Linked DNA regions of Oryzias latipes. The protein of the gene in region 2 purifies or fractionates together with the protein of the main gene of each other region. This does not show direct contact. Links are inferred from orthologs where the notes say so. Each region holds a gene or a part of one and is shown on either strand. Other genes may lie near its edges. The genes, in order: sf3b6, prpf8, bcas2, ttc27, sf3b2, sf3b3 and eapp.

Evidence for each region.
Region 1: the proteins of prpf8 (region 2) and sf3b6 fractionate together in Homo sapiens (co-fractionation; 3 studies listed by BioGRID, with this or other methods). This does not show direct contact. The link is inferred for Oryzias latipes from reciprocal best matches to the Homo sapiens genes PRPF8 and SF3B6.
Region 3: the proteins of prpf8 (region 2) and bcas2 purify together in Homo sapiens (affinity purification with mass spectrometry; 3 studies listed by BioGRID and IntAct, with this or other methods). This does not show direct contact. The link is inferred for Oryzias latipes from reciprocal best matches to the Homo sapiens genes PRPF8 and BCAS2.
Region 4: the proteins of prpf8 (region 2) and ttc27 purify together in Homo sapiens (affinity purification with mass spectrometry; 3 studies listed by BioGRID and IntAct, with this or other methods). This does not show direct contact. The link is inferred for Oryzias latipes from reciprocal best matches to the Homo sapiens genes PRPF8 and TTC27.
Region 5: the proteins of prpf8 (region 2) and sf3b2 purify together in Homo sapiens (affinity purification with mass spectrometry; 3 studies listed by BioGRID and IntAct, with this or other methods). This does not show direct contact. The link is inferred for Oryzias latipes from reciprocal best matches to the Homo sapiens genes PRPF8 and SF3B2.
Region 6: the proteins of prpf8 (region 2) and sf3b3 fractionate together in Homo sapiens (co-fractionation; 4 studies listed by BioGRID, with this or other methods). This does not show direct contact. The link is inferred for Oryzias latipes from reciprocal best matches to the Homo sapiens genes PRPF8 and SF3B3.
Region 7: the proteins of prpf8 (region 2) and eapp purify together in Homo sapiens (affinity purification with mass spectrometry; 4 studies listed by BioGRID and IntAct, counting the BioPlex papers as one, with this or other methods). This does not show direct contact. The link is inferred for Oryzias latipes from reciprocal best matches to the Homo sapiens genes PRPF8 and EAPP.

The regions. Positions count from the first base shown.
Region 1 is NC_019882.2:13,000,521-13,003,928, reverse strand, and holds sf3b6 (splicing factor 3B subunit 6), read right to left. Parts: upstream 2,188-3,408; 5' UTR 2,065-2,187; coding exon 2,035-2,064; intron 1,711-2,034; coding exon 1,592-1,710; intron 1,105-1,591; coding exon 966-1,104; intron 870-965; coding exon 780-869; 3' UTR 501-779; downstream 1-500.
Region 2 is NC_019871.2:16,920,923-16,924,422, reverse strand, and holds part of prpf8 (pre-mRNA-processing-splicing factor 8), read right to left. Parts: intron 3,396-3,500; coding exon 3,232-3,395; intron 3,149-3,231; coding exon 3,022-3,148; intron 2,852-3,021; coding exon 2,659-2,851; intron 2,543-2,658; coding exon 2,355-2,542; intron 2,263-2,354; coding exon 2,024-2,262; intron 1,948-2,023; coding exon 1,801-1,947; intron 1,543-1,800; coding exon 1,332-1,542; intron 1,216-1,331; coding exon 1,099-1,215; intron 1,006-1,098; coding exon 758-1,005; intron 657-757; coding exon 477-656; intron 349-476; coding exon 213-348; intron 1-212. UniProt on the Homo sapiens protein: Plays a role in pre-mRNA splicing as core component of precatalytic, catalytic and postcatalytic spliceosomal complexes, both of the predominant U2-type spliceosome and the minor U12-type spliceosome.
Region 3 is NC_019865.2:942,938-946,673, forward strand, and holds bcas2 (pre-mRNA-splicing factor SPF27), read right to left. Parts: upstream 2,413-3,736; 5' UTR 2,309-2,412; coding exon 2,216-2,308; intron 1,820-2,215; coding exon 1,727-1,819; intron 1,638-1,726; coding exon 1,567-1,637; intron 1,466-1,566; coding exon 1,304-1,465; intron 1,226-1,303; coding exon 1,175-1,225; intron 1,095-1,174; coding exon 1,014-1,094; intron 941-1,013; coding exon 814-940; 3' UTR 501-813; downstream 1-500. UniProt on the Homo sapiens protein: Required for pre-mRNA splicing as component of the activated spliceosome. Component of the PRP19-CDC5L complex that forms an integral part of the spliceosome and is required for activating pre-mRNA splicing.
Region 4 is NC_019873.2:9,610,715-9,614,050, reverse strand, and holds the end of ttc27 (tetratricopeptide repeat protein 27), read left to right. Parts: intron 1-640; coding exon 641-741; intron 742-2,477; coding exon 2,478-2,603; 3' UTR 2,604-2,836; downstream 2,837-3,336.
Region 5 is NC_019876.2:19,496,889-19,500,388, forward strand, and holds part of sf3b2 (splicing factor 3B subunit 2), read right to left. Parts: intron 888-3,500; coding exon 745-887; intron 345-744; coding exon 243-344; intron 1-242. UniProt on the Homo sapiens protein: Component of the 17S U2 SnRNP complex of the spliceosome, a large ribonucleoprotein complex that removes introns from transcribed pre-mRNAs.
Region 6 is NC_019864.2:25,096,010-25,100,020, reverse strand, and holds the start of sf3b3 (splicing factor 3B subunit 3), read right to left. Parts: upstream 2,801-4,011; 5' UTR 2,665-2,800; intron 2,093-2,664; 5' UTR 2,023-2,092; coding exon 1,953-2,022; intron 1,197-1,952; coding exon 1,041-1,196; intron 471-1,040; coding exon 300-470; intron 1-299. UniProt on the Homo sapiens protein: Component of the 17S U2 SnRNP complex of the spliceosome, a large ribonucleoprotein complex that removes introns from transcribed pre-mRNAs.
Region 7 is NC_019880.2:24,339,581-24,343,515, reverse strand, and holds the start of eapp (E2F-associated phosphoprotein), read right to left. Parts: upstream 2,801-3,935; 5' UTR 2,671-2,800; coding exon 2,591-2,670; intron 2,278-2,590; coding exon 2,099-2,277; intron 791-2,098; coding exon 692-790; intron 1-691. UniProt on the Homo sapiens protein: May play an important role in the fine-tuning of both major E2F1 activities, the regulation of the cell-cycle and the induction of apoptosis. Promotes S-phase entry, and inhibits p14(ARP) expression.

The DNA.
Region 1 (3,408 bases), on a different chromosome or scaffold from region 2:
GAGGAATTTTAAAACAAATGGATAGTCCCATGTAAAAATATAAAATATGATAAAGTGGATAAATTAAAGAATTCAAAATAAATAAAAACTATTAAAACATTTGCTAAAAGGCAGTTGAAAAAGATGGGTCTTGAAGCTTTTCTTAAAAGCAGCTATGCTCTCTGCAGCTCTCAGGTCCTCTGGCTGACTGTTCCGTAAACAAGGGTGTACCCCACCTTTGCCCTACAACAGCTAGGATAGGCTCCAGCAACAAATATAGCAGGTTAAGATGGATGGACGGAAAAGACTGAATGACGGTCAGCTTCTCAAAAGATACTTTTCTGTTTGTGTGTAAATGTGGGGGAAAAAAGAAAAATTAGCTGATGTGACAGGTTTACAAAACAAGAGTAAAGTGAGTTCATATGTGGTGTTTATAAAACAAAAGACAATGGGTTTAAAGAAAAAGAGACATTTATTTTACAATAAATGGGTTTAAACAAACATTACATCCATTGATGTTCTTGGAGCACAAGGCAGAGACCTGTTAACTTTCAAATAAAATTATGTGGGGGGGGGGGAAAGAACTGAACTGAAAACATGCCTGGTTTCACTTCAAATTAAAAGCTCAATTAACATCAGAGAAGTCATTTTTAAAAAAAGCAGACGGCAGGTCATGCATAAAAGGTTGACAAAAGCACCAAAACAAAAACCTGACCAAGCAAAAATTTTCAAAAAAGGGAACATTTGTACAGGTACAGAGAAATCTAAGGTGTGTGAGAAGGTTTTGATAGTCGTGGAGATCATTTGGGAGGGTCTGTGTTGATGCCGTATTTCTCTTTTAGGAGCTTCAACTGCTCTTCCTTCTTCTTTGTGTCCATTTTCTGGAAAGCCTGCAAAAATATGAGCGGGTTGATGGTAAACAGAAAAAAACAAACAAACAAGGAACCAAAAAGGTTGTAAATGGATGAAATAAAAAGCATACGTACTCTGTTGGCGTTGTAGTAAAGAACAACCAGGTAACGATTGCAGACGTTGAAGCCTGACAGGTGATCGCAAGCGTTCTTGGCATCAAATATGTCTTCATAAACAACATACGCCGTTCCTCTGCTTTCAGGTGTGTTACCCCTAAAATACAGCAAAAGCATGAAATGGTCACACATCTTAACCTGTTCCATAATAATATTGTCCTTAAAGACCCACTCTGATGAAAACTGTTTTAAAACATTTTCTCATGGCATTTTTCTGATGAAGGACAACATATATGAAAGAATATTGAGCTTATTTACATATTTATTTTATTGTCTGAAAACATATGAAAAAGTGATCTAAGAGGGACTCTTAAATGATGATAACATGTGAGGGGAACAAACAAAACAAGCATTTTTAATATGATTAATAATGATTTAAATGTCAAATTTAAGCAAATGCTACACCACAGTTTGGAATGAAACGATTTTTTAAATAAATTTTGCTTCTCATTAATACTACCATGTAAAAAAATTACATTTATATATATTCATTGTTAGTAGACGTGGTTGTGTGTTTAGGACAGACATTTTTTTAAATTAAAAATAAACAAATAAAACTGAAGGTATGAAGACAAAACACTTACGTTCGTATTTGACGTATGGGTCCATATTTGCCAAAAATGTCGTACATTTCCTCAGCCGTGATCTTGTAAGGCAGATTTCTTATGTATAGGATTCTGTTCACCTCTGGAGGTAACCGAATCTGCAGCACACAAAAAAGAAATGTGTAACAGAAAGACTAGCATGTAAACAAACGGTATAAGAATTCTTCACTAAAGTGTACCCTCTAACGTGCTAAAACAATAATAATTCTTTAAAATTTTAAGATGACAAAACAATCAATTTTACCATCTCATTTTCAAAATGCCGTATTTATTAATTTTTTTACGTAGCGACGCTATCTTTTAGTAACCAATAGCTGCTAAAGGCTAACGGAGGGCTAATTGTCCCTTTCGTGAGCACCAAAAACCATATTAACATATACTCGTTGTTATATAGTAAAGTTAAACACAAAAATTGACCTTACATTAGCGCGTTTCGCAGCTTGCATAGCCATGATGACAGTTTATTTCGTCTGAACAATAGCTAAACAACAAACACGCAATGCCTTTAGCCTTCACCAGGAAATGGAGGGACAAAACGAAGACGAACATCCGGTTAACGGATAATACCAATAGGTACAGCAATAGGCATGTGCTTCCCTCGTGTGGTTAAAAGAGGAATCACACACATTTTGAGATACTATTAACACAACTTTTTTTAAATTTCTTTGTAATTCTGTTCTTTGACCTAGAAAAAATCAACATGGCCATGAAAGTGGTTTTGTGGTTTCACAAGACACAAGAAATAAAAAGACTTATGTGTACCTCTCTCATCAAAGTGTTGTGCAATGAGATATATGTGTAGGGAAAAGTAAAATTACTTATAAACATCAATAAAATGCAAAACAGTTTTTTTTGTCATTTTTGTGTTAGGAAATTCCCTACACTGACAAAATCTATGTATTTAACTTTTTTGGAGAAAAATATTGGAGATTTGAGCACTAGTTAGAATTGCAGTTTGACCTGTTTACCCACAATTGGGGTTTTGGCGTTAAAATGAATCTACTCCCCTTTTGTGTCTTTTTTTTCTTTAAAGATAAAATCCAAATTCTATACATATTTATGAGGGGGAAGTTAGTAAAAATAACCATCTCTCATAAAAAAACAAACAGAAAACAAAGCTGTGCTTTTAATTTCTTTAAAAAAATACAGTCTAAAAAAGATCTTAATTCAAAGTACTCGATTCCTCTTCTTTTGTGACATTTAAAAAAAAAGCGAGATGACAATCACCTTTATAAATCTAACCACAAATAAAAAATATTTTTTCTCTAAAATGTTCGGAGAAAAAAAACTATATATAGAATATTAAATAGAATTGTGATAAAGTATTACAATATAAAAGAGGAAAAATAAACGACGACATGAGAATAAAGTCATAAAATTATGAGAAAACAAATCAACATGGGGTAATGATTTGTTGAACTGTTGTGCTTTTATTTTCTGCAATTAACAGGTTATGGGTTAAAGAAACGAAAAGAAAAGAAAAAGTATTAGTGCGCAGGCGCCATGTGGGATTTGATGATTCGGTCCGGTAACGGTTGCAGATTACGGCGGGAGTTTTTCCAACGGCAAACTGGCGTCTCTCGAGGAAAATCTAGAAGGGACGTTTTATTGAAGTCTCGCGACGTGGAAAAAGATCGACGGTTGAAGACCAACTCGGCGAGGAGAGCTTTCTTAGTCTGAGATGAATAAACGGGTGAGTTTTAGTTTAACATTTTTTGTAAACCAAAACGATAGCCGAACTCCTCGTATTGACTTTAGTTGTTTTTTTTTATTCGCAAAACGCCCGTTTACAGAAA
Region 2 (3,500 bases):
ACAGCATCAAAGAAACTAATCTGCAAGTCAAAAACATCTATATGAATGTAATTTTAATAGTTCTATAATTTCATGCTTGAAATTAAATAAGGTTAACTTGTTTGTGACTCTCAGTAGCATTGACAAACTATTGACTTTCTATCCATTCTTTCAAAGAAGCAGATATTCACTTCCAGATTAATTTATTCTCATAAGGAGCATCTCCGTCATACCTGATACTGCTTGAAATCTGTCCTGACTCTCCAACCTTTGTCATAAGCCAGAGTGTGTCTGTCTTTCTGGAAAAGTGTGTTGATGCGGGGAATTCCTCTGTCCCAGGAGTCCTCCAAATCCTCCAGAGTCAGACGTCTAGAACAACAAACAACACGTTTTACACGACTTGTTTAACACTCGCATTCAACTGAACCCCTTCATAAAACAGTTCCGCGAACAGGAACGTTGTGAACCCTTAAACGCTGATCTCATTTTGTCCGCACCTGTTCTGACCAATGGCTTCCTGTCTCTTGAGGGCGTACTCGGCCCAAACTCTCTGAGAGTCGATGAACTCACTCTCCCACGGCTGGATGTATCGATACAAGTTAGGAATGAGCTGGTCTTCTTCGTGGCTCATTCCAGACCTGAAGTGGGTGATTCCCACGTCGGTCTGCTTAGACCACCTGTAGCAGCAACAGAGAACTGAATGACTGGTTTGTTTAGACACCACATGTGTTTTTAGCTTCAAGAAGAGACGTTGGGACAGAAATGTGGCAGAACGTACCGCAGGTCTGACTGTGGGATGAGGACATGACCCATGGACAGCATGCCCAGCCCACCCAACTCTTTGGGGGTGTAAAAGACCACGGGAGGGAAGCGGCTCGGCATTTTGGAGTTGAGGCCAATCTTGATACGTGTCTGGATTTTGTTCTCACATTTCACCAGCAGGTCCAGCAGCTCCTGAGTATTGACCACAGCCTCGCGGAAGTACGTCATGAGGCCGATGAGAGCGGTGTTCCACTTGTTCACAATCTAAGAGGAAAAACAAGACAATGGATTTTTATTTGATCATGGTCTATGATAATGGCCAGGACACCAGAGTGATTTACAGGGATTTCTACTAGCCTTGGTGAAAGTGGTGGAGCCAGAAGCCATCAGGATCTGACGCACTCTGTTGTGGAAACGCTGCATTGACTCATCATCCACTCGGAGGAAACACTGCGCAGTCCTCTCTTTTGTTACCTGGCACAAAGAAAAACAACCATTTTCCATTTCAAAATAAACTGAACAATGTTTGCTTTACACACGAGACTGCAGCTGTCTCCAAAAGCCAGCAGCTGACCGTTATTGTTCCTCACCTCATTCTGCAGGTTCCAGACGCCATCCTTGTGAGTGAATTCCTCATAGCTGGTGCGACACTTGGGAAGAATGCGACACTCGAACCCACACATGTTGAAGAGCAGGTTGGGGTTGTCTTTGCTGTAAACGGACACGAAGCTGTTCTCCCACTGCACCGTGGTCACAGACCTGGGCAGGCGGTTCTTGATGTCCCAGAACACTGCACGTCCACTGGGGAGGGAAATAAGATTTGTGATAAACGCCATCGCAGTCTCCTCCAATGTTACGTTTAAAGTTATGCTGAAGAGTGTTTTTCCGCCATCAGTGCATGATGATGTGAACAGTAGTAAACTAGAAGAGGTGCTGTGCAGAAAGGGTTCTTCTCCCAACAACTATGAGCTCCAAGGAAATGTTAGAGCTGCTTATAACTGTGCTTTCAATTAAAATTCTGATGAATCTATTCACTATATATTGTGAAGATGAACTTACAGGTTTACATCGTGCTTCATAAGTCTCATGCGGGCGTCACGGGGCCAGCACTTCTTGTTGTTGTACCCCACTATGTTTTCATTGTTGGGGTCCGGATGCTCCGTCAGATATCGCTGAATCAGGTCTCTGGCTTCATCAGCAGAGAACCTGAAGGCCGTAAAAAGAAAGCAGAGTTTTAGAATCTGCCAATGAGTTAGGAAAGGCATTTTGTTTTTAGTCTCACCTGAAGAAGATGTGTATGCGGTCGATGTAACGGCAGTACAGTCGGATTGGGTGAGCAGACTCCGTTGCGGTGTCTTGGAAACTGAGGAAGTCGTTGGGCATCTGAGGGGAGCCCGCCATCTCACTGGCACGGTGCAGGCCGAGGACCAGCAGGTCCATCACCAGGCCGTAGTACTGCACAATGAACGAAGCAAACTGCAGGCCTCTGATGATGCCGTAAGAGTTGGTGTGGTTCATGTCCTAGAAGAAATGAATGTATTGACATCATGGACCAGTTTAAAGACAATGATTATGCGCTCAAGCTCAATGTTCCCAAACAGAGGAGAGCTTACTTTGTAGTTTATGACAACGTTGTTCTTGGCCGTCATGTAATCAGCGATGTTGTGGTCAACAATAAGGCGCAGTAACCTGTTCAGCAAAGTCAAATCGATTTTTTCGTACATCTTCTCGTAGCGGGACTCCAGCATCACGTTGCACTCTCCCTCCGCAGTCTCCCACACATCCTGCAAGTTGTTGATGCCTGACAGGAGCAGCCAAATAAACTACATTAGCTCCTTTGTAATATTTTTCTTTAAGAGCATTTAAATTACACGGCAGTAAAACATCTATTTGAAATCAACATAGGCTGGGACTCACCTTGGCACCACTTGTAAACCAAAAGTGGAGGTGGTTCAGTATCAGCAGGTTTGATCCAGGGTGGGAACAGCCGTCTCTTGTCTGCTTCGTACCATAGGTACTGATCCAGGTATGCATCTGTGATTTTCTCCAGGGGTTCCACATCATACACTGGCACCAGGTGGCTGTACAAATCCATGAACTCAATGCCAACCTGAAACGACAAGAAAAACATCAAATGTGATGCAATAAACAGGTTTGGAAAAAGGGTTTAACCGAACACTGGTTGAAAAAAAAGACATGCTCGGTTTTTTCAAAGGTCAACTTTTTCCCTTGAAGCTTTTAAATGTTGCAGCCAATATAGAGTCAGTCAGTCGTGCTGACCTCTTTGAACGCTCTCTGGGTGAGCAGGTGACGTTTGATCCTGGACAGAGCTTCATGAGGGTTGTCATAGGCTTGTTCGATCAGGCCGAGTTCCTCCCTCTGACTCTGATTCAGACGAGATTTCACACTATGAGGAAGGAAGATAAAAATCACAATCTTGAACAGGAGCAGTCGTGTTAAATTGAGTCCGTTATGTTCTAACATTTGTACCTGTAGGCCTCTTTGAGCCTTTCCAGAGCCAGGATCAACAGCTTGGTGTCATGTTTGTACGACAGTGGGGGAAACGGAATGGGCGAGAATCGCCGGCTCTCCAGCCAGTGCACAGTGGTGGTGTAAATGGCAACAGCTTCTTCTGCTGTGATGTAAGGGCCATCCTGCAACCAGAACACAAAGTTAGGAAAAAAGTTTAAAGCAGGTCAAATGTTTTAGATTGAGACTCATGGGTTAAGAATTATAACACTTTTAATTGTACTTTTTCA
Region 3 (3,736 bases), on a different chromosome or scaffold from region 2:
CTGTCAGTTGGGGCCTTGAGCTTGATGTGTATATATATATATATATATATATACACTAATTAATTTCAGGATAAAAGCACCTCCATTGCAGCTTTACTTCCATTGTGAGTTAATGTTTTGTGAGTTTTTGGGTTGTGAGTTAATGTGTTGTGTGGTAAGTTAATGTGTTGTGAGTTAATGTGTTGTGACCTTTCTGTGCCACTGACCAACAACAAAGATGAAGACTCATCCAGGAAGTCATGGAAGACGCTGAGACTTTTGAAAATGGATCAGCACAAAATGCTGCAGATTTCTGAGATCAAAGTTCAGTGGATGTACAGAAGACAGGGGATCTGACACAAAACCGCCTCACTCTAGGCCTCAGACTTTAGGTTTCACTGTTCTTCAAGAGGGATGAATGACAAACCATCCAGCTGCTCCCATCTGTTAGCTTCCAGCTCATCAGCTGCAGCTCTGAAGCTCAGAGACTTACAGGTAAAAGACTGAAAAAAATAACAATGTGTATGAAACGTTCATTTTATTAAAACGATAAAAAACAAAAGTTGAATCAAAAACAGGATTTTTTTTCTCCACCACAACTTAGAAACTGTACAACAAGCTACAAAGACATCGATCATGTCGATCGATCATGAGTTTCAAACCATGATTTGTGTGTAACTGAACACAAAAGACCCAACGGTTCCATCAGAGGAAACCGACGCCTTTCAAACATCATCCGTCTTGGAGTCGAGTGACCCGCTACGCTCCAGCAGTCATCGAGTCGTCCAAACCAACCGAATCAGATCCATCCAACGGATCCCGGTGAGGTGACTCCTAAAAGTCCTGTCGGATGTTCTCCTTGTTCTCCTCCCCTTGCTGCTGCCTCAGCTGAGCCACCTCGTTCTCCAGCTGGACGATGGCGCGCTCGATCTCATAGTTTTTACTGACCAGCGACACCCAGCTGGCGGGAATCAGAACCAGAGTCAGACATCACCCCTCATCCACGAGAACACCAGAACTTAAGAAGAACCTACTTGGACTCCAGCTCTCGCAGCTTGGCGCCTGCAGCCAACTGATCGTTTTTGCGCTGCCAGTTCAGGTCCTGGATCTTCTTCCTGCCGGCATAAGTTCAGAAATGTGTAACCATGGTAACCGTTGGATCTTTTCAGGCATGTATGATCCAATCCTCAATCACCTGAACTTGTGGAGTTCCTTTTGAGCCAGCTCAATCAGGAAGGCCAGATTGCTGAAAAGGGACAACATTAGCTTTGAGTCTTCAGAAGAGTCAGACACCAAAGGGTGAGACCCACAGGCCGCCACTCACTCGTTGTAGACCTTCCACGCGTTTGTTCCATAATGCGACATGAGCTCCAGGTTCTCGATCCGGATGGCCTGGTGCTCCAGCTGGGCCATGGAGTTATTGACACACTCCTGCCAGGCGGTAATGTCGTTCTTCTGTCCCGATGTGGGGGCTGGAAGCTCATACCTCCACAGCAGAATAGAATCGTTCTATGGAATCACCCTAAACTTTCTCTTTCTTTTACATTTACAGAAATATTGTACAGACAGACAGAGTGTGTTTTTTACCTCTTCATGCTGAGGAGGTCCATTGGTTGTCGAGCGGCTAATCGCTCAAACTCATTCCTCATGATTTCTGTCTGAAACCCAAAACAAAACGGGAAAGGATTATAAACCGGTTAGCCAACCCAGACTAGGAATCAAGTTTCAAATGTCTGCAGGTTTTCACCTCAAACGGCGAGAACTCCGGCATGGGCAGGTAGCTCAGGTAGTTCTTAGTTGGGCGATACCTTCTGGTCTCTTCTTCCACCAACGCAGCGGCCTGAAGGGCCAAGTACAAATGATTTCTCTCCATTTTTCATACAAACATGATTTAAAAATGAGCCACAACCCCTGATGATCTAACATGTCAACTTAGTGTCACCAAACCCTGGTTCTCCAGATCTGCCGGCTGTTTCAAACCCCTCAGCTGTTGTTTTACCCGATGAGGTAAACAGCAGCTTTGGCTTTGAAGGTTTTCATCCTAAATTATGAACTTGTATAGTTTCAAAGCAGAAACCTATAATGACAAGATCTAAAGAAATATACAGGCGATCATAATAATAATGGTTTGGCCAACTATACATTGAACGGCGCGTTACCATGCGGCATCGCTAGCTAACAGTTCTAACTAGCTATAAGTTAGCTAGCTTTTAAAGCAGCATTCTTGTTTACCCACCGCTTCTCTGACACCTGGTGCGTCATAACCTTGATCAAAATACGGCAACGCATCAACAAACACTTCGCCAGCGACCGAGGCCGTTCCAGCCATGTTCGCTCCCCAGTAAAAAAAAATAAAAATAAAGAAAGAAAGTCCTTTTCTGCTAACAGACTCCAAACGGCTAATCAGAAACTTCCGTTTCCGGTCAAAACTTTCCGAAATAAAAGTCTCAACGGTGTTGTATTAATCGTGATTGTCGCCTCTTGCGTTGAGGAATGGAACTGCAGCTTAGTAGATAGATAGACAACTTTATTTATCCATTTGGGAGGTTCCCGCATGGAAATTGACATCTCCATCGCATACAGCACTGGTTGACATACATATAGGAAAAAGGAAAAAGCAGCACAGTGACTAGAAAAATGAGGAAGATTAGAACAGTAAAAAACAATTTAAATATCTGCAAACAGTATATACAAAAAAAAAAAAGTGATTCAGGCCCTTTCCCTTTCCTTTCTGTCCCCCTCCCCCCTCCTAAGTGGTTTGATGGCCCGGGGGTGGTAAAGAGTTTGATGGCCCGGGGGACAAAGGAGTTCCTCAGTCTATTAGTCCCGCACCTTGGGAGGAGCAGCCTCTTGCTGAAGGTGCTTCTCTGGCTACCGATAGTCATGTGCAGAGGGTGGCTGGTATTGTCCAGGATACCTGTCAGTTTTTTCAGTGTCCTTCTCTCTGCCACAGTAGCCAGACGGTCCAGCCTTGTGCCAACCACAGAACCAGCCCGCCTGATCAGCTTCTCCAGCCTGGAGAAGTCTGTCTTTGAGGTGCTCCCCCCCCAGCACACCACAGCGTAGGTTATTACACTGGCGACCACAGACTGATAGAAGATCCCCAGGAGCTTCTTGCAGATGTGTAGTGTAACAAACTTCAGGTTTCAGCTATTACTGCACTACAGTAAACCTTTAAAGAGTTTCATATTAAATTTCAACAAATAAATGCTTTTTTTATCTTTCTTTTGTTGTTGTTCTAAAAAAATATATAAATAGCTTTTTCTTCTGATACAAATGTGATCAATCTTGTAAAAATACTTCATCATCACTTCAATATTTTTTTTTAAATAATGTATATAAAATTATAAGTTTACGTTGAAGGCATTTCATCTTAACAATACAGAAATAATAACCAAGAGTAAATAGCCAAGAAAGGGGAAGTACTGGTATGTGTATGCATTATAGTATGTAGGGCCGCACAATATGAGGAAAACTCGCTATATGCGATATTAGTGATCAATATTGCGATGAAGATATAACTTGCAAAAAATGAACAAATAGCAAAAACAACAAAAACATTTCCATTTCCCTTCAAATGTTTAGTATAAATAAGAGTCAAAATACCTTAAATTTATCTTCCAAATGACCCTCGTCTAATTAGTAGGGCAACATCTAACGTAAGAGCTCCATCCGATTGGTCAACAACGTAAAGGGCTATATCTGATTGGTCAAATGCATAAAGGGATTTAGTTAATTCATTAAATAGCTAAAGTTA
Region 4 (3,336 bases), on a different chromosome or scaffold from region 2:
TCTGCAGAAACATTGTCAGAGAAAATGACAGGTTTTTGAAATTTGGCTAAAAACAGCATAATTGTCATTAAAAGACTTTAAATCAAAGGATGATCAGTGGGTCTTTAAGGGGCGGAGTCATACTTTTCCCACAATTTTATTTCCTCTTAAGATCTGAGAACTTAAAGGATCAGAGTGAATGTTTGGATAAACCACGTTAGATAGATTGAGGAGAGATTAAGATGCTCCGAGCAGCGTTTTTGGAAACGTCAACATCAAGGTCAATGTGAAGATGAAGTAATAGAGCCAGCAGCCAGCTGTTGTGCAGATCCAGCTCAGATGACGACACTCACAGCAAAGGACAGATAAAGCAGAGCAGGAGGAAACTGTCTCCATAAATCACCACCGGTTGACCTTCACAGCAGAGGCGGAGGAGGCAGGAAGCAGCTGGGCTTCCTGCCATCAGGAAGAGGGAAGAGCTGACCTGTGAGGAGGTTGTTACTGCAGTGATGCCACCTGTTGGAGCTCATTCCCCGATTAGCAGTCATTTCAGTCTAAAACACAAAAAACTAACTTCTGTTTGTTTGGAAAATCTTCCAATAAAAAGCTGTTGTGTTTTTTAAAAGTTCCTGCAGTCCCTGAATGTCTCTTCATCTCTTAGTGACCATCAGCTGCAGTGAGAAGAAGAGCAACCCTGCTGAAGCTCTGCAGATGCTCTCCTCCACCCGCCTCAGCCTCCGGAGTCTGGTCACCAAAGCCAAAGTAAAGTCCAGCCACTTTTTATCTGAGTGAAGCTGACATTTCTGCTTTCTCTGGGGTGGGGGGTGTCAGTGTGTTTGGGACCGGTGGGGGTTCAGACTCACCTTTTTCTGCGGTAGCAACATAACAGAAGCCGTAAGAAAGCAATGATTGGTCTGAGTCAATGTTTCCATGGGAACTACTCTCTCTAATCAGGAGTGAGCTTGTTGGAAGACCCCACCCCTACTACTTGAAAATGGGTTTGGGAGAATCTGTCAATCAGACATTTCAAACATTTGATGTGAGACCAAAGACTTTTATTCCGGCATCTGACTGGTCGGTTTCTATTGAATAATTTTGTCTATAGAAAAAAAAAATTGTAAATAAATTAGTATCAGCAAGAATATGTCACTCAGTCCAGTTCACATATACAGTCAATTTTCCCCAAACACTTTCTGGTTGTTGTGTGACTCCCGACCGTGCTTTAGGTTGCTTTTGTTCAGGATTTCCCCCACAGGCTGTTGAGTTGGGAGGCTTTGGTTTGCTTTCACACATGACTCTAACGGAAGAGAACCAGAGACCGAAACGGAACCAAATCAAAAACGAAATAATCTCCCTTTGAGAAAACATGTCTCTGGGACTAGAATTTCTTTCTTAAAATAGGAATTCTTAAGACCATTTTTCTTACACCATTAGCCTTTTTTATTGATTATTTAAAGAAAATCTCCCAATGGGGTAAGAATATTTGACTTGTTTTGAAGGGGCTTGTTTTTGCAGCGTAGTGTGCTTTTAGGCCAGAGATGTGACAGTCACACAGATCATGAATTCAAAACTATATATCTAGATAGCTTATTTATGATAGAAACTGTCTCAAGTCCTTCCTGTTCTATCTTATTAACTTACATAATGGTGACAAAATTAACAGATCAGTGCAGATATGTGTCATCATATCAGTTTGTGTAGCTTCTGTGGCGTTGTGTAATATTTTTTTGCCCTCAAGTCTCTTCATTTCTGCTGTAGAAAACCTGCTGGTCTCTCACTCATAGTACTGTGTGGATTTAAAATGTTCACAAAAACCTTTTCTGTTATAAATACAGACGTTTACCATCTATGCATGCACACATTTTTACAGTTGTTTTTTTTTTCAGAAATGAGGCCCCTGGTGAGCTTTCACACCTGTCTAACAAAGCAGACTATAGGAACTGTTGTGCTTCACACAGTGAGCTATGGAAGTCTTTCTGTTCCATCAGATTCTGAACTTTTTAAACCCTCGAATTTTCAATTTGAATTTTTAAAACCTTTGCATTTAAAAATTCAGAACGAAAATTTGAGGGTTTAAAAAGAATTCAGAATCTGATGGACCAGAAAAACCTCCATATGAAAGCAGCCCAAACTCATCCTGCCACAGTCTTTTTGGTTACTGGTTGATTAATAATTAAAAGGTCTAAAACACAAAAGTTTACAATTTAATCATCAAAATCAGTTTAGCTTAATAAAATACTTTGATGTTTACGAAATGTTACTTTTATGCCTTGATGATGTTCCTTTGTGATTAGAATCCGTTTGTGCCAAAAACATGTTTTTTAGCACCAATGGAACCCCGGCAAAATTATTTGTGTACCGTTGTGATTCTAATCAAGTTGTGCTTTTGCAACTGTTTTGGTTGACTGCTGCATCAGAGGATCTAGAGCAGCCATGAAAGTTGTTTTTAAGGCGTTCCCCCCTCAGCCTCTCACCTCGCCTGCTTTGCTATCTTCCAGCAACTGCACACGGATGCGGGCACAGGTCAGCTTCCCGCCGAGCTGCAGGATGGCATCGCCACTCTGGAGGAGCTCATCGCTGCGCTGCAGAAGCAAGGAGGCCTGCGGCGAGACAAATCCCTGTGACATCCTTACAGACACGCCCCCTTCCTTTGAAAGAACTCCCAACATCATCTGTTGACTTCAACAGATGACTTATTTTGGAATCACGTTTTTATAGTTAAATACCCTAAATGGAAAGAACATTGAACAGTAAAATCTTAAAAACTCTTAAATGAATTTGTTTTTATGCAGTTTCTCTTTCATATTTTCCACCAAATATTGAGAAAAATAAAAGAAAATCTGAAATAGTGTTTTAATGTTTGTCTTTGTCATTTTTATGGAAATTCTGCCCTTCACTATATTTTTAGTCATCTTCTCATGTCTTGGATTTAGTCTCAGAGCTTACATTTCCCTAAAATATATCTTTATACATCAGCGAGTGTTGGGAACCTTTGTTTTCTTTCTTTACAGTGAAGCTTCAGATGATTTATCTTTTAAAGTGGAATATGTAAAGACTTTGATACCATCCATCCATCCATCTTCCTCCGCTTATCTGGGACCGGGGCAGCAGTCTAAGCAGAGATGCCCAGACTTCCCTCGCCCCAGCCACTTCCTCCAGCTCCTCTGGGGGAACCCAGAGGCGTTCCCAGGCCAGCTGAGAGACGTAGTCTCTGAGCTTCATTGTGTCCTGGGTCTTCCCCGGGGCCTCCGCCCAGTGGGACATGCCCGGAACACCTCTCCAGGGAGGCGCCCAGGAGGCATCCGGACTAGATGCCCGAGCCACCTCAACTGGTTCCTTTCGATGTGGAGGAGAAGC
Region 5 (3,500 bases), on a different chromosome or scaffold from region 2:
TAACAAAACTATTTGAATTCTGACAAAAAATATTAACAGAAGCAGTTTGAAGATAATACCGTATTTATCATATTTTGCAAACCTAACCCTAGATTATTGTTGAACTGCTGGGGACTCTGTTTTTGTACAAAACCAGCACTGAGCAGGCTTTAAGAGCTAATATAGTAACTGGAAGTGGCCTTCAGCACTGAAAGAATTGAAGGCAGCAGCAGCATGTTTGTGACAGCAGAAACCCCACATACCCATCCATGGCCTCCTCGATCTTCTTCTTCCTCAGCTCAATCAGCTCTGGAGTCTCCATGCCGGCTGGTACAGACGAGAAGCCTCCAGGAGTGATGAGTCCACTGCAATACATAACAAGGCGTCAGTTCAGTTGAAGGCTTTCTTTATAGCAAGGTTTCATCCCATGTGTGAATCAACATCCCAAAATGAAAAATAAACAGTCTTCAGTGATAAACTTGGCCTGAAAACAATGTTTTTAGGTTATGTTAATATTCGTTAAATTAGGACAGTGACTAAATGTTTTTCAACTGGTCCTCTTGTTGAGAATAGAGGATTTGAACATCAAAAGGCCCTAAAAAAGCATTCAGATGTTTAATTTTTACTTGACATCTCTCACAACAAAGAAATACAAGAATAAGCTTTTCTATTTTGAGCCCTTCTGCCACCGATCCTCAAACAAATGGATAGAAAAGGAGAAAATCTTTAAGTTTAGCTGAACATTTTAGTTTTCTCATCAAGGACCTGTCTGCTGGTGTGAAGAATCCAGTTTCATCTGGCTTCTCTTCATCGCTCTCCTCCTCCTCTTCTTCCTCTGAAGATTCCTCATCTGAAGGCTCCAACTCTCCCCATGGGGTATGGTCTACCTCTTCTTCCTCAGCCTTAGCCTGGACACAAACATTAGTCCAGTAAACAAGGGCTGTAACAAGTGTTATTTGGAAATTCACAAACTATTCCAGAAAAATCAAGTACAAATATTTTTTTAATGTTCAAGATCGCTGATTTGCAATCTTTCCAAATATAGTAGAGTGTGGTAAAAAAAACATTTTACACTGTAAAGGGCAGAATAACAGAGGATTTTCAGTTCATAAACTAAACAAACCGAATGCGCTACTGTAACTGGAAGTAAATAAATCTTCAAAGTGTTGGTGAAAGGTTTCATTTCCAAAGTTAACTTATCAAGTGTTTTTTGTAGATGAAATAAAAAGAGAATGAAGTTCAGTTTACTGAATATGCATAGATTCATTTATTTTAATTTTTTAATTAATTTCACATTTCATCTAAAAACGGATTTTGTTTTGAATTTAATTGCCAATTTAAATAAAACACAAAATGAATATTTAAGAATATTACAAAAATCTGGTGACCAATTATGTTACATCATACGCTAGCATTGTGGAGAAGTCGTAAATGAACGCATCTGCAAAACGTGTTGGAGTTTTATTGTATTTCTACTAACGATGTCTGTTTACGAAACATGTCTGTTGGAATCACGGTTTTCCGTTAAGATTAAAAGACTGAGTTTTCTGGTTGTTAAATATTTTTTGAGGTCCTGCCGCGTCTTAATTTATTATCTTGTCGTTTATCTACTGGAACTGTAGTCAGCTAAAGTTTGAGGATGGAAAAACTGTGGAGAACATTTTCAGGATTTATTGTTAAATGATTCAAAGCAACAATGATGTTTGTTTTGTTTACTGCTGAAGTTAACTAGGAAGTTGACAGAAAAACTTTTGAGTGTGACATTGTTAAAAGTGACAAATAACATTTCTTTCTTTAAAAATCTGTCTATTTATTTGTCATGTTTTTTTATTCTGATCTGTTGCTCTAAATAAAATGTATAAACAATGCTGATTAAATACGTATTTTAGTTTTCAAACATGTATCCACCATTCAGAAAAAATATAGTGAATACTAAGAATTGTGGTTTGACCTGTGAATCGGATCACCATCTCAATAACAACTCAACTGCCTATAAATAGTCAACCAACAGGATGAAAACAAAGAAAAATCAATGTGTTTTACAACTAGAAAAGTTGCATTTCCTGCAGAAACATGTTTGATTGTGTAATTGCTTGATAGTTGCTTTTGCTTGATTGCAAAACTTTTAGTTGTAGAAGCTGATGTTTATTGAAAGGAAAAAGGTTGAATAATTTGCTGAAGTTTTTTATATAAAGTTTGCAGACGTTTTTGGAGCTATAAGTGTAAACCTGCAAATAGCCTTACAATTGAAATGGAACACATTTGTTTAATTGCAGAAAAGACATACATGGCAGAAAAACTTGAAGAGAGCAATATTGTCCATAAATGGCAGGACACAAATCTAAAAACTCCAAAACTTACTAAAGGAAGAATTGCAAAGATGTATCTAAACAGTTGTTCAGAGATATAAATTTATCTTAAGAAATTAGGTATAATTGTAGCTAAATGCCAGATTAGTTTAAAAACCTCAATAGATGCCAAATTAGTCAAGGCAACTAGCATATTGCTAAAAAATTAGCTAAAATAGCTTGAAAAACCTTAGTAGATGCCAATTTATCTAAAACACCTGGCATATTGCAAAATATTACCTTAATACCTACTAAGCTTTAAAAACTTCAGTAGATGTCAAATTAGCCATGAGCTAGAATCGTATAAACATAATGGTTTAATAACAAATTAGCAGAAAAAAGGAAAAATATAAAATATCAGCTATAGTCTAAATTAATTTTAAAAAATCCCAGTAGATTCTTTTGTAGCCAAAACAGTAAGCTTATTGCTTAAACATTAGTTGAATGCTAAAATATCCTTGAAAAAGCTCAATATATGTCAATTTAGCGAAATGTGCTAGCATAATCCTAGAAGTACAGTTTAGTGCCAAATTAGCTTAAAACTTAGCCAAAACAGCTAGCATAATGCCAGAACTTCAGCTAAATGCTAGAATAACTGGAAAAACATAAGTATATGTCAAATTGGCCAGAAAAGCCATCATATAGCTGAAATATCATAATAAAAAGCGATGATGTCACCCACTCTAGGTCTGCGAACATTCCGCAGTATATACTAGTGTTAAAATCTGATGAGGGGTCAAGACTCGTATAATTTAAAAAAGCTGTAGTTCAAAAACTATTTGAAGTATTCAAAAGAAAAGTAATACCTGTATAAAGTTTAAATGGCGTCTGTAGGTAAAAAATTGTAGGAGATACATTTCAAAAACAGTGAAGTAAAAGCAGACTCCCCATCGACTTCCATTATATTTGGAATTTAAACTACTTCAATCGTTTTAAAAACAATAAAATATTTGAAAAATTATTTAAAGACAGTTAAAAGGTCTACAAAAATAACAGATACATGTTTGATTTTTTTTAATGGCATAAAGTATATAGAAGTTAAGATTGCAGAAAAGCATACCCCATGTTTTTCTATGGCGAAAGTTGCAGCAACTGTTGAATTGAACATCAGTTTATGTTTTCTATTGATCAAGTAGTGCTATATCTGAGTGGGCTTTTTAGACAATTTTACAT
Region 6 (4,011 bases), on a different chromosome or scaffold from region 2:
TTTTTCAACTATGTTTGCAACCTTCTGTTCAGTTTCAATCGATCATTACAGAGAACCTGCTTCATTGAAAAAGTTGCACAAATTCATTTTAAATTAATTAAACAGCAGAGAGAAAACCAAAAATATCTCTCATTTCAATATCTCTCATTACTTCAAATGTATGAAATCTTCACTTTAATTGATCTTTTGCACTCTGTGTGTTTGCTACTCTTTGAAAATTACACATGGAACCATTTGAAATTGTGAAGAAGAGAATACTGAAAGAATGCGCATTTAAAGGACACGCTAAGAACTCTCACCTATCATGACAGCTCTGCCTTTAGGGTCTACAGCCAGGTATTGTCCCGGGACGATCCGTCTGCAGCCGCTCTTCCCAAAGGTTTCCTGGTGGATCTTCTCAAACATGTTTTTAGATGGATGATACTCCAGGATGACGATGCGTCCGCTGTCACTTCCAACAACAATATAATCTACAAACAAACAAATTAACCAAACACACGCTTTGAGAATTTGTTTTGAAAATGAGGATAAAGTAAACGTGAAAAAAGGGCTTCCTGCTAGCTTAAGAGTTTTGACCTTCATCAAACACAGTCACTGAAAACTGACAGCTTATATTTGGGGGAAGATCTCTGTCCAGAGTAAACCAAACCAGAGCAAAACACACACAAAGCTTCAACAGTAACAGTTAACTGACAGATTACTGAGAAACATCACAATTAATGACAAGAAGAAACAGTTTTCAAATCATTTTCAGCAGCACAAATATCAAAAGCAAACCAAATCAAGTGATTCAATAAGCAGCAACATTTCTTTCTAATCCTTTGGTACCTAAACACCTAATTTTACAGGATAAAGTTCAATGAGGAGAGTGAAGCTTATTTTATTCCTCATCATTAAAATTAAGCGAAAGAATCACATACAAAAATCTGTAAATCAGTACCAAAGCCTTTTTAGAATAAACTCTGACCATTCTTTTAGGAAAAGCAAAATCAGCAAATCTTTCACCTGTAACATATTGTTAAATAATGATGGTTACATACCTTTAGTTCCTCCTGTGAGTCTGAAGGCCATCAGCGATCTCACAATACCAAACACTTCCATTGTGAGGAGTGTGTGCACTTTCCCCGTGTTGGCGTCTGGGCGCAGTAACTCCAGGATCTTTCCTCTGGAAACTACAATCTCCTGCATTTTGGTTCCTAAATAATGAAAAACAAAATGTATTGACATTAGATAAGACGTTTGTGAAGAAAAAACAATCAGCTTTGTGTTGAACCATTTGACAAATGTGTCTATGAAGACTCTCATTCATCCAGGTCGATTCCATAATAGGAGTAGGTTTAGAGGCCGTCATTTGTACTTTAAAGTTAGAAGATGTTTCACCTCTTATCCAAGAGGCATTGTCAATTCTGAATTGGCTGTAAAAGAGCTGGTATAGATGCGCTCATGGGGGAGGAGTTTCAGGTCTGACTCCTCCCCCATGAGCGCATATATACCAGCTCTTTTACCCGCCCCTAAACCTACTACTATAATTTGACAAATGAATTTATTTAGGACAATGAAGGAAAAAAAATAACTTATGTCTTTGTTTTCATGTAGATGCCAAGTTAAGGTCTACTTAAGGTAGATTTGGAGAAGAAATGGTTTAATGGATATTTGCATCAATAGGCATCAAAGGATTAAGGGGAGAATGGCACATTTTGGAGTGAAGAAAGGAGTTTATGGTCTGCAACTATAGTACCTACATACTACTACAAGCTTTTCCCAGTAGCATTTTTGTCTGCTACCAATTCCCAATTATTTGAATAAAGAAATACTCAGAAATGCAATTTAAAGCTTAATTTTCTTAGTGTAAGTCCAGCATGGAAAGAACGTATTAAAACACAGCTTTCATTGGTGTGGGTCTTGAGTGACAAAAGCAGTGGAAGGCCGTCATAGTACCGCTAGAAGCTCACCTGAGAAGTTTCCATGGATGGCATGGCTGATGCCGGTAGCGCGCTGCAGGGTGATGTTGTACAGAAACATGATTGCTGGTCAGTTGTTTCTACACAACGACCTTCTGGAGCGGCTAACTGAACCTTAGCCCGGGTGAAAGCTACAGGAAAAAAATTAAAAAGTATATTTACCAACTCTGCACAAAGATGTGACAAGTGACACGCAAACTAAGCAACTTTTAGTATCAGGCACGTAAAATGTCAGGGAAAAGACGCACGTTGAACTTGGTGAAACAGATCAAACTTAAACAATTGTCTAAATACAACAAGAAATAAACACTGAAGTATGGGATTTGAGGACGGGAAGGGGTTATATTTTGTTTACACACTTCACAGCAACTGCCAACATTAGCTAGCTATTTTGTAATAGCATTAGGCTTTACCTTTTTAGCATTTTACACAATATGTTATTTAACGACCACGAGACTGTGGCGTATACAACTCGAGCATTGCTGTTGCGATATCCCAAAAAAGGTTTAAAGGGAAAAAAATTAATATGAAAGGAGTCATTATTCAGTCTGCTAGCTTGGGGGAGCCTATTCATTCAAGGCGCCACTTTTACCGATGAATCTACAGCTGTGCAGCTTTTTCACCGATATTTTTTACACATTAAAAAAAATATAAAGCTCAACAAGTTGAACGGTGATGCAGATTTGTAAATTGAAACTTTTACCAGTGGGCTCAAAGAGATGATTCAGATTCCAAAGAGATTTAACTTCATGAAATAGAACGTTTTTCTTTAGCTCCGACGACAAGAAGCCGTTGGAGGGTCCTTCGCTTTGCGATACGTAATGGATATAGGTGGCCCGCCCGATGCCTGACAAGAATCAAGAGCTGTTGATGAGTTAAACGTCCACGAGGTGTCGACAAAGACCAGTGAGTCTAAAATACCACGAATAGCTTAAAACTCAAGTATGGTGAAGCGTGAAAAAAACGTACAAATGTTAAATTTAAAAGGGTGGAAATAGGACAAATGCAATATTTAGAAACGAATGGACATTTGTTGAGCAGCGCATTTGAAACCAATGTTACAATTATTTATTTTAGCTGTTTTTATTGTCTATGTTGCTACGTGTGCATGTTGCAGTGATAGATACATGGCTGTGATTCCTAAATGTATTTTTTTGATTTGACCAACATTTTGTTTATTTGAATAAGTGTGAAACGTATTTATTTTGGTCATGTTGTTTTTAAGTATTTCATTTTTGAGAGTTTTTATTCCACTACCAATCATACTATGACCGTCATTCATAATGAAAATTATTATAATAAGAATAATATCAATATTAATTATAATTACGGGCATTCAGGGAACCTACAGAGGGATATTTTGCATAATTTGTTGACAATACAAACATTAAATTATGAAAAGCTCAGACAGGAAGTTGTAGTTTTGGCTCGCGCAGATGAAAGTGGCAGCCGCCGGGCTCAGTGTGAATCTGCTCTCCCTTAAAGAAACCGAGCCGCGCCGCCTCTCGGTTTGTAGCAAAGGGTCGTCCCGACGAACGAACAGTCTCCAGTTGCCTCCCTCCCTCCCACCCTCCCACCCATTCCGTAATGCCTCCGTTTCCCCGTGTCTTTCTTAGCAGGCTTTAGCCTCATGAAACATTAGTTGTTGCGGGTTTAGCAGCCCTTGTCTCCTTCACCCAAGGGTTATTGAAATTCCTCAGCTTGTTTTTCCCCGGAAACATTCAGCCATTTAGATTCAGACGGCGTGACTGCACGCTGGGAGCGCGCCGTTAGACGCCCGAAGAGCAGCATCAGCAGCAGCAGCAGCATCAGCGCACGAGGAGCGGCTGGAGGACGCTCGTGCCCCGCCAGTGCATCGAGGTGAGTCCCCCCCCGCGATAAGGGCATCTTTAAACCAGACAAAGCGTCGAGGTGGCTCATTCTGAGGGGTGATGATGAAGGTGCATCCCTCTTCCTCTGGCGTCAGCCGCTGATGTCGAAGGCCATCGTCCTGCATGTGCATCTCAGAATAAAGTGGCTTCAAACATGGACTACTTCCATTTGATTTCTG
Region 7 (3,935 bases), on a different chromosome or scaffold from region 2:
ATTTCATGACGTGCATTCAAACCCTGAGAATTATTCTATGTATGTACTAGAACAGAATTTCTGGCATGGTGGTACAACGGTCAACCGCTAACATTAATATTCCTAGTCCAATTCCCACTCCCAATTACGTTCACACCAGACGTGTCACACATTCTTGGACATGCGTTGTCATATGGTGTTCACAGTGGACGGGCGCCAACACGTCCACCACCTCCAGTTGGAGGAGGCTTGGGAGGAAAATTCAAAGCGGTGCAAATCTCCAGGCGTTTTCTTTCACGGCTCGATTCCGGTTTATGAAAGACTTGGTGTGTCATGTAGTTCTGGCAGGGCACAAACTGCACATTTTGAATTTCTCCTTCTTGATCACCTTTCAACCAGTTAGCCCATTTGGTGAATTAAAAAGGATGCTACGCATGCGTCACTACCAAATCTGACTCTCTGATTGGTCAAAGTTCAACTGGTTTAACTTTCAAAGTGCGTTCAGTGGGTGCAGGTTTTGTACAAAAACAGACATCAAGACTCGCGCAGAGATGCACGAACAAAAGAGTTTTGACCGAAGAAGCCGGAAATGCGCATTTACAAGCGTTTACATAGACTTGGACTCGTTGGAAGTAGTGGCGTAGACGCGGATTCCCGTGGGCGGTGTGAACCTAGCATGCCCGTGCTCACGCCGCGTCAGTGTGCGTCTTACCAGCTGTGTCCTCCTCCTCTGAATCAGAGTCAAAGTAAACGCTGTCGTACATCTGAGGGTTGGAGGAACCGACAACCTCGCTGCCTCCTCCAGTTTCTGCTGCAGGAGAGAGGAAACCTTCACATGCAATCCCTCCTGAAACCTTCGTCTGCAGTCAGATTAATACAGAAGCAGACCAACCCCTCCAGAGAACAGCTGATGAGCTGCCTTTGCAGAAAAACATTCAAAATTTACAAACTATTGGTTTGTTTTGGGACTTTTATTTAACACAAACTAATCATTCAATTTCTCCTGGAATTGTGGAGGATTTGAAGGTTCTGGTGGATGAGAGGTTGTGGACTCCGGCTGGTTTGACTTGACTTTCTACTATAGCAAGTACATTGTATTAAAAGAGCATTTTTCTATTTTAAATTGAACAGTATTTCTAAAATATATCTTTTTTCTAATGTTTGTATGATTTATTAATTAAAACAAAGTAAAGAAGCCAAACATGAGTGGTATCAGGTCAAAACTATTGTTTTTGAGTTTTGCATGAAACCTGTCTGGATCTACAAATCCTCCCATGCTGGTCACTGATCTGACTGTTCATTACAGCTCAGACCTTAAAGTCTGCAGCTTCTAAAGAGAAGAACAGCTTTTAAAGCTGCACTGAATGGAGGAATGGAAACATCAGAAGACCTGTGGGGTGTTCCAGGAAGCATGTTTAAACTAGCCTGACTTTAACCCTGAACTCTGGCTGAAATCCGCCTGAAATCGCTTACTCTGGGTATGTCGGTTCCAAAAGACCGGGTATGAGTTGGCGTAATTGCGCTCGACTTGGTAACCCTGGGTTAATGCTCGTGCACAGCAGGTACATAAAGACATTCTCAATAGATCGCCGATTTACGGAGTAACCATGGAAACGCGTGGAGAACAATGGTGGAAAAAGTATTATCTGAGCTTCTTCATCCACTAAATCATCTTCAAATGGACACGCCATGCTGCTTCACCTCTCTGAAAACAAACTAAGCTTCAACTAAACCTGCTCCAGACCAGGTTATGTTCAGAGCATGAGTTACTATGGCAACTTGACCTACCCTGAAGCATACCTCCATTTCTAAAACAGAAAGCTGAGGGTATCAACTTCCTTAGCCTCAAACTTACCGTGGTAACTAGCATAACCTGCTTTCTGGAATACCCCCCAGATCAGGCTCTAGAAGCAGAATGAGATGGTTTTGAAAGGAGAGACGGACAGTTATGCTGCTGCTGCTGCTGCTGATGATGATGCTGGGAGGCGGCTGAGGTTGGGGCTGGTGGCTCCAATGTGGTAAAGTGGTTCAAAACAACAAGCAGCTCTCTTTTGTACAAAAGCTTGGTGTTTCTGTGTTTGGAAGGGCCCTGTGTGTGTCTGTGCGTGTTACGGGTTACCGGCTGCAGGGGCCCAGCTTCCTTCCATGGTCCTGAGGGTGGAGCTCAGCTCTGCCTCCATCTCCTTCTCAAACTCATCCCCGCTGGAGGACTCGCTCTCCCCGGTCAGGTACTCCCGGATCAGCTTCTTCTTCTGGTCCGGCGTCCCGTTCAGCAGCACGTCCAGCTCGTCCTCGGAGCTGAAGACAGGCGTTTCTGTTCAAAACTGGACTTTTGGAAACCTTCATCATGATGACGATCATGAAGCAAAGCAAAACACAGCGCCAAAATGCGACATATTGCGTCTCTTTTATCATGGTCTAAAACCTGATTCAAACTTTAAAATTAAACGTCTAGGAACTGGTTTATCCTGCATATATTCTACCTTTAAAATCAAAAACATCATTAAAAACCAAATCATAAACATGTAATGTTTTTATCCGTTTTTGTTGCTTTCAGCTGTTGTTAGCCTCGTGCTGCTAGCATGAAGCTAACCGTCTGTTTACATCATACCTGCTCGAAGCGCGTTCTTCGTCGCTTGGCTCATCGATTTCATAAGCCTCACTTTCCACCGGTCCGTTAAACTTGCTCATTTTAACAATTTTAAACTTTCTCAGAAGACAAAACAACGGGAAAGATTTATCCCGAAACTGGTCTACACTCTGTCCAGTCTGACGTATGTCTTCTTCTTCGGCATCGGTTCTTCTTCTATGGTGGTAAAAGCACTTGGAAAACTCGTTACCGCCCTCTTGTGGAGAAACATTTTAAAATCATTTTTACTTCAACTATCTAAAAGGAAATTCATTTCAGAACTAAAAAATAAAAGTAGGTGGAATATAAAACAAAAGAAACAAATAAAAATAAATTTATTTATTGCTAAAGCCACAATTTAATAGTAAAATCGGTCAGGTTAAAATGCTGAAGCTAAATTTAAAAGATTAGAAAAGTAAAATTAATAAAAAAGAAGAAATTAATTATTGTTTGGATTTAACAGTAGGTATAACATGAAAATAATTAAGAAAATTTTCAAACATTATATATTTTTATGTATCCCCAAAATATAATGATAACTATAGACTTCAAAAAGCATTAAATAAAAAGTTTTTCAAGATTAGTTTAAGGATAACCCATGCAACTTGAAAAGGACAATAGAGGTGAAAAGATTATTCAGCCATAAGCGCTCATCCTGGCAGCTCAGGAACAAGCCCTGAGTACCAGAGCAATAGAGGCTCAGATCTACCACACCAGACAAGACCCAAGGTGTAGGCTGTGCAAAGAGGCGCCTGAAACAATCCAGCACATAACTGCAGGGTGTAAGATACTGGCAGGGAAAGCATACATGGAGCGCCACAATCAAGTGGCTGGAATAATATACAGGAACATGTGTGCAGAATATGAACTGGAAACCATAAAGTCAAAATGGGAAACACCTCTGAAGTGGTAGAGAATGAGAGGGCAAAGATCCTGTTGGACCTCCAGTGTTATGGCTGTGGCCGTATTCGGTTTTGTTCTTTTTGTTCTGTCTTTTTTGTATCATAGTGGGACTTCTGTGTTTTGTGGGTTTTTGTGTGTCTGTCTGATTACTTTGGTGCTGGAAAGGGTGTGGCTTCCTTTTGGACCCAAGCTGATGGAGGCAGCCTTTACAAGCAGCATGTGGACCCCCAGCCTGCCAGAAGGGAGCTTTGCTGCAACCTGTCTCCACGGAGGTTATTGTTTTGTCACAGGTAAGATTTCAGATCTCAGTCAGGTGGGGTTTTGTTTGTTATTTTGGGTTTGGTTCACCCTGAAGCCTTTTTGCTTCACCTTTTAGTTATTGTCGATCGGTATTTATTAATTTGTAAATAAATGTTATTTTTTA